Coturnix japonica: one gene and its partner. The protein of the gene in region 2 purifies or fractionates together with the protein of the main gene of each other region. This does not show direct contact. Links are inferred from orthologs where the notes say so. Each region holds a gene or a part of one and is shown on either strand. Other genes may lie near its edges.

What was found. The genes of interacting proteins can lie anywhere in the genome.
Region 1: the proteins of HNRNPR (region 2) and HNRNPU purify together in Homo sapiens (affinity purification with mass spectrometry; 3 studies listed by BioGRID and IntAct, with this or other methods). This does not show direct contact. The link is inferred for Coturnix japonica from reciprocal best matches to the Homo sapiens genes HNRNPR and HNRNPU.

What each region holds. Positions count from the first base shown.
Region 1 is NC_029518.1:31,194,840-31,199,426, forward strand, and holds the start of HNRNPU (heterogeneous nuclear ribonucleoprotein U), read left to right. Parts: upstream 1-1,598; 5' UTR 1,599-1,807; coding exon 1,808-2,528; intron 2,529-3,389; coding exon 3,390-3,501; intron 3,502-3,629; coding exon 3,630-3,703; intron 3,704-4,587. UniProt on the Homo sapiens protein: DNA- and RNA-binding protein involved in several cellular processes such as nuclear chromatin organization, telomere-length regulation, transcription, mRNA alternative splicing and stability, Xist-mediated transcriptional silencing and mitotic cell progression.
Region 2 is NC_029538.1:1,446,636-1,449,431, reverse strand, and holds part of HNRNPR (heterogeneous nuclear ribonucleoprotein R), read right to left. Parts: coding exon 2,687-2,796; intron 1,182-2,686; coding exon 1,060-1,181; intron 866-1,059; coding exon 256-865; 3' UTR 1-255. UniProt on the Homo sapiens protein: Component of ribonucleosomes, which are complexes of at least 20 other different heterogeneous nuclear ribonucleoproteins (hnRNP). hnRNP play an important role in processing of precursor mRNA in the nucleus.

The DNA of each region.
Region 1 (4,587 bases), on a different chromosome or scaffold from region 2:
GTAAGGCTCTGAGATGCAGATAAAATAAGCTATAAAGACTTGGAAATGTAAGTTCTTAAATATTTTTATGTTCAAAACTTGAAAAATAATCCTGGATGTTGGACAGGTAGATGACATCTAAATTTAATGCAGTTTTCTGTGTTCTGTGCATTTCAGTAGTAAATTATCTTGCAACGTTAACCAGGTAGACTCTGCTTATTTTTGCTCCCACCTTGGCAGCACTGTCACTCAGACAAGTTTAGAAAGCCCTTTCGCAAAGAAAGGAACAAGGGTAATGATTTATATCTGTTCAGCTTGATTGTGTACTGATCTTTCTGGTATCTGTGCACGCTGTCCTTTACTTCCCCCTGCTTAAAAGACTCCAACCTAGCAGAGTGAGATAGAATCTACTAACTTGCATTTGTACTAGGGAAAACTTGTAATCTGGACATAATGCATGAGGCAACTCTTCCTGTCTCTGTTCCAACAAGACTGTAGTTGGGTTGTGCTAACCTTGCAGTGAGTCACGTTTCCTCCAAAAGTGATCAATCCAGCCTGACAGAGCAGCGTGTGTGTGAGAGAGGGAGAAAGAAAGAGAGAGCACTTTACTTTTACAGTTAGAACAGATAGACTTCCTCATATCTTCTCCCTTTTGCTGGCTGTAAGTAAATACGTGTTGTGGTTCAGAAGGCTGTGTGACCTGTGCCTGGCTTGCCCCTTTTGTGAACTTCTTAAAAGCACGTGAAAACTAGCTTTTTCTTCAGCCTCCCTAAGGAAGCAGAATGGCAGACTGGTGTTGCCTTTCTGTCCATCTGTAGTCATCTCTAGTGTGGTTGCATATTTTTTTCATGTAACTTCTGGTCAAATTGTGTATACTAATATATTATTAAATCCCTACCATAGAACTTGGTGGCTGAGGAGAGATCCAAGTAGCGATATGCAGAGGGAGAGATGGGTACATGTAAGCTGTTTAGCTGCAGCTGATCAGCTCTGTGCTGAGCTTCACTGGTGCTTGCTGTGTGTAGGAGCGTTAATGCACTTGAAGTGCTTTTGTTGGCCCCGTGGCTTGCGGAAAACGTCGTCTAAAGATCAGGTCAACGCATGCCTGTTACTGCTGCAGCCCGTAGAGAGATTGTCTGTCTCTACTGCTGTCCTTATGTAACTTTTCAGCAGGTTGCGTCTGGGCCGCTATTTCGAGGCGCAGCCTTTGCTGTCGAGCCCTCGACAGGCCTCAGAGCGAGGGGAAGGGGCAGCTGTGCCGTGCTGCGGCCTACACGCCGGCCCGAGGCCTCCAGCCCCGCCGTGTTAAGGCGGCAGCGCGGCGCGTCGGGGCCAGGCCTGCAGCCGCCTCCTGCCCAACATGGCGCAGGTACGGCCGCCCAGCGGGGCGAGGAGCGCTCGTCCCTCAGCTGCGCCGCGAGCCCGGGCACGGCCGCGTAAGCCCGGCTGGCCCGGCGGAACAGCCGCGCGCCTGAGGGCGGCAGGGCCCACACAGCGCAACGCGCTGCGCTCGGACGGGTATTTACGGCACGGGGGCGCGCGGGCGGCCGTTACGGTATCGGGGGGGTGAGGGGGAAGGAGGGACTACGTGCGCGGGGGCGGGGCGGGCAGTGCTGCGTGCTCGGCCCCGCGAGGCGCGTCTCCCTCGCGAGCTCGGTGAAAGGATTTGGCGCCAGGCGGGTCCGCTCTGCAGCTGCCGCAGCCGCACGAACCAGCCGCGCCACCCGCCCACCGCCTCCCGCCGGGGCCTCGACCCAGAGCCGCCGCCGCCCGCCCGAGCCCAGAGCCGCCCCGCGCGCCGCCCAGGGATCGAGCCGCCGCCGCCGCCATGAGCTGCTCGCCCGTCAACGTGAGGAAGCTGAAGGTGTCGGAGCTGAAGGAGGAGTTGAAAAAGCGGCGCCTCTCCGACAAGGGCCTCAAGGCCGACCTGATGGAGCGGCTCCAGGCCGCGCTGGACCAGGAGGCCGGCGGGGGGGGCCCAGCCGGCGGCGCGGCCGAGCCCGGCAACGGCAGCGTGGAGGGGGAGGCGGCCGAGAGCGGCGGCGGCGCCGCGCAGCTCCGCCAGGGGGGAGGCCTCGAGCAGGCCGCGGCTTCGGCGGCGGACGACGACGACGAGGAAGGGCTGGAGGCCGCCGACGGCGACGCCATGGAGCTGGGAGAAGAGAACGGCGAGCGGGCGGGGGCCGGGGGCGGCCCGATGGAAGAGGAGGCGGGCGGCGAGGAGGAGGAAGAGGAGGAGGAGGAGGATGAGAACGGAGACGATCAGGGCTTCCAGGAGGGGGAGGACGAGCTGGCCGACGAGGAGGAGGCCGCGGCCGGGGACGCCAACGGGCACGGGGAGCGGCAGCCCCAGGCCCAGCAGCCCGCCCAGCAGCAGCCCGCGCCGCGCGCCGCCGCCAAGGAGGCCCCGGGCAAGAGCGCTGCCGGCGCATCGGGACCCGCGGCGGCCGCATCCACCGGCCCGGCCGGCCCCGCCAAGCAGCAGCAGCAGCAGAAGAAAGCGGAAGGTGGCGGCGGAGGAGGCCGCCCCGGGGCCCAGGCGGCTGCGGGTGAGTGTGCGCGGCGGGAAAGGGGGGGGAGGGAGCCGTTAATCCTCCACCTCGGCCGCGAGGAGCGGGGCAACGGGCCGCACGGAGCTTTGCGGGCCGCGAGCGGGCGCCTCCCCCGGGGGAGACGGAGAGCGAGGAGGGCTGGGGGAGGGGGCTTCTACCGCCCCCGTGCCGCGTGGTCCCCTCGAGGCCGGGGCGGGGGGTCTGGGGAGCGGGACGGGCGCGGGGCGGGGGAAGCGGGGGCGGGGAAGGGACCGGGGGGGGGGGGGGGGGGGGGGGGGGGGGGGGGGGGGGGGGGGGGAGGTAAGGGGAGGGGCGGGCACCGAGGGGCCGCTGGGGCGCGCTGTATTGTGCTGAGCGGCGCCGGGCCGCCTGACGTCACCTCCGGCCGGGGCTCCTCGGGATGGCGCTGGGAAGGCTCGGTACAATGGAGGCGGGCGGAGGCGGAATCCCTGCCCCGCGGGCGGCAGGGCGGCCCCGCAACCACAGCCCGCCGCGCTCGGCGGCCGAGAGGCGGCGCCGTAGTGCTCGGCGCCACGGGGCCCTGCGAGCGGCGTGGAGCCGGCGGGCTGCGGGACGGGCGGAGCCGCAGCGCTTTGTGTCCGCGCAGCGCACCCAGAGGGACGGGCTTTCGCTCGGCATCGCGGTGCATCGCTGGTTTAGCGGATGGGTTTGGAGTGCGCAGGGAAAACTCGAAACCATGATGTTGTTATTGTAGTGAAAAACGGGATTCTGCCGTGAGCTGCTATTGTTTGGGTTTTATTGGGTTTATTTTGGGTTTTATTTGGGTTTATATATTTTGGGTTTTATTTCCGACTAAAGAGTTATTCCGTGGTGTTAAAGTCATCGGTTTTGTTACAGGAGATGGCAAAACAGAACAAAAACCCGGTGAGAAAAAGAGGGGTGTCAAGAGACCACGTGAAGACCACGGCCGTGGATATTTTGAATACATTGAAGAAAATAAGTACAGCAGGTAAATAAGCTTTCAATGCTGGGCACCATTGTATGAGTGAGGAGAGGTAAGATGGGCTTACTCTAAAAAAGCGTTTCCTCTTACATTGGAAGAGCGCCTGGCTTCATTCTTCACTGTTTTCTTCTTAGGGCCAAGTCCCCTCAACCACCTGTTGAAGAAGAAGATGAACACTTTGATGACACAGTGGTGTGTCTCGATACCTGTGAGTAGCCATGCTTTCCTTTGGTCTGCAGGGATACCAAACTGTCTTTAAGCTTAAAGCCCCACATTTCAGAAATACGGGGTTAAACTGTTTGGTGATTTGCATTACCAGACAACATAGAAATGTTTGATCCTTGCGTTTTAGCATACAAAAGGTATATTAGTCTTCATATTAACAATATTCAGCTAAATTTTTACCTGGAAGTATGTGATGTGCTAATTTGCTGAAGAAATCCTAACTGAAATGGTAGAGTTGCATATGGCAAAACTGACTGAGTGTTCAGTATGTATAGGTGATGCTTGAAACAACCTGAGGAACTGATAACAGCACATCAGCTTCTCACTTAAAGAACCAATAGTAGATAGCTATGGTAGTAAAACGCCTGGACTGAGATTCCTGCATAACTCACTGAAGCCTTATTGATGTATCAACAAGTTTGGGGTTTCTTCTGCTGTTTTCTGACAAATTAACAATCAGCTTAAGTCTGCTGGGAAAAAAACTAAATGACCCATTCGTGTATTCTGAGAGTTGGAGGTGGTTTGTGTAAGTACTGCTGTGATATACCATGACCAGGGTAAAAACCTGTGTTCTTATGGGTAAGTATCAGTTGTTACTGTAGAATTTAAAACTTAAGGTAATGCATTAACTTGTCAGATTCTTTAAATTCCATGAAATGCGACCTTAAGTTTTGGCTTCATTTGGCATATTTGCTAGTAGTTTCAGGTTTTTTCTTCCTGAGAAATGTTTTGAAATGGAAGGAGGCATTAGTTTACAGCCACGTATTTTGCTGAATATGCCATTATCTTCCAACGTGGTGAGTAGCCATCTTTGTGGGAGTCCTTAACTCTCCCAATAACTGACTGGTAGCTACTTCTGATTATTGT
Region 2 (2,796 bases):
GTTCAGGAATTCTGCAAGCCCAGTAATGTCCAAGTGCATTTATGAAAAAAACAAAAAAACAAAAAAAGAAAAAAAAGAAAAAAAAAAAGAAAACTAAGAGACTCGAGTATATACACAATAGAGTGATTCTTCAGCCCAATACAAATGGTAGCCAATCGCTACTGAAGGATGAAACATTAAGCCAATTTTGTTTTGTAGTATGTAGAGCTATAGCCAATTCTATGTTTCCAAAATTCTCGATCCCTCCTCACTTGTCTACTTCCACTGTTGCCCATAAGTATCCTGATAAAATTCCTGGTTGTCATTATTGTAACCATAGTTACCGGCATAGTCACCACCTTGCTGGAGCGGCTGCTGAGCGATGGGTTGGGAGCCCCAGTTCTGCTGGTTATTGGTCTGGCGCCGCTTGGAATCTGGCTGGTTGTACCCATCTGCCTTTCTCTTGCCTCCTACGTTGCCCCCACGGTTGCCCCTGGCTCCACGAGCACCGCGTCCTCTCTGCTGCTGTGCAGGACCCCCTCTCCCACCCCTGGCTCCTCTTGGCGGTCCCATGGGTGCCCCCCTCTGTGAATAGCCAGCTCTACCTCTTGGTGGTGGTGCTCCCCGCCCCCTAGGTGGTGGAGGTGCACCTCTCCCACCCCTTCCTCCTCCTCCTCTTCCTCTTATAGCATAGCCATCTTCATAACCATAGTAAGGATCTTCATATCCACCACGATAGTTATGGTAGTCATAGCCATAATAATCGTAATAATCTTCATATCCGTAATAGTCAGGGGGATATCCATATCCACCTCTCCCTCCACGGCCTCTGCCTCTAATAGGAGGTGGCATGCGAGGCGGAGGGTAGTAATAATAGTCTTCATACCTATTAAAAAAAAGAAACACACATTAATTTAGCTTGAAAACTCTCCCAGAAGAAAGTATAAACTTCCCCTTGTTAATTACCAACATCACGGAGGGGAAAAGAAGGAAAAAGGGGGTTCAGTTTCTTCTAAACTCTGTGTTTTACAGCAGAATTTAACTTTGCAGTATAGTAGTAATTCAAGAATGAACACTCACGCAGTACTTCTGGAGGCCTGCCTGGCAGCCTGACGTTCTTTCCTTTTCTTATCCGGTGGCTTTGCTAACACTATTTCAATTTCTTCCCCTTCTATCTCTTTTCCATTCATTTCATTCATAGCCTGTACAAAAATTAGAAGAGAAACAAGGAAAACTCATTTTCAGCCAAGAGGAAACCAGAACTTTCAGGGGGAAAAAAAAGAAGTTGGTCGGGCTACTGCTTTGTATGTCTTGAAGAGAATTCTTCCAGGTTATTCTTTCAAGCAGTTCAAATGAGGCCAAGTTAAAAAAAAAACAACACATTTTCTTTGTATCAGAAGGTAAAAGAATCTCAAACCATATGGAGCATTATATTTCAAAAAGTTACAGTGCTACATCTGATTTTTATGTTCCTGAACTCCTTAGAAATAGTTCAAAGAGTTCTCACTACACACGCTGACATGAATACTCCGTGTACTTGCAAGGAAGGCAGAATGCACACATGAGAGACAGCATTTTTATATTTGGACTATCGGAATGCACTGAAAGAGTATCTCAGAGGACAGCAAGTATTTTTACACATAGCTGACTGTGAACAAGAAAGGACACACACTTAAGGGGGCAAAAAAGAACAACAAAAGTTGAATCTTGGCAACTTCATGAAGTAATACAGCAATCCTCAAGTAACAGACCACGTGTAATCTGTAATTATCAAATGCATGCACAAATAGTACTTGATGTACATACACAAAGTACAAGTAGGACTATACCTCCCTGTTCTCTGCTTGGAGTTACTGCCCTGCACTGAACGTGTCTGGGTACAAATACATGAATTAATAAAAGGCTCCATATGTCTGCACAGACCTATCTTCAAAAACTGTAACAATAAGGGTTTATTTGAAAGAAGCTCAGAGAGTACAACAGCCACTGGAATCAATTAATGAGTTCCATGCAATCCATATCATAATATCGCTTTCATTAAAAACAAACAGCACAAACATACACAGAACTAACCCACAGAATTCACAAACCAATTCAGCAGCCATAAAGAGGAGTCAGACAGGGCAGATATACTGCTGCATGCTACCTTAAGTTTGAAAATGAAAGACCCTCTGAACTATGTAACCCCATACACTACACAGCTTAAGAGACTCCATGGCATAAGACATTTCCTCCACCACCTTCCTGCCCCCACGCACGACTGCTTTCAAATACTTTTTATAAATAAGGAGTAACTTCTACAAACTACCCTGCAATTCCTACACAATATTTCTGCCATTCCAAAAACTACACAGTCTTTAAATAAGGGTCTTTGAGAGACAACTGATACCTTCTGTCGCTTCCTCAGAAAAACTGTCTAGGTTGATTATTTTTTCCTCCTCTTCTCTAGACTCTGCTGCATTGGTCTATACCTCTTTTCCAGTCTACTTGTTAACTTGGAACAGTTTTGTTCCTTGCAAGTTTCACATCCTCCTAGCTACTGAAATCATAGGAACAAAATTATTAGTAATAGAATTTTCACAAAAGGAGCCCTGCTATACACGCTCTAGAAACTGTCATAAGATATTCACTGTTAAGGAATTTCTAAAAGCATCTTCACAGAGAGCTCCTCACATCTGATCTAGATAAGCAAGAATAAACAACCCACCTTCACTGCTGCACCTCTGTCCTCAAAATGAACAAAAGCATAATCCTTTAGTTTCTTAACTCTTTCCAGCTTTCCAAATTCAGAGAAGGATTTCTCAAGAATTTCTTCTG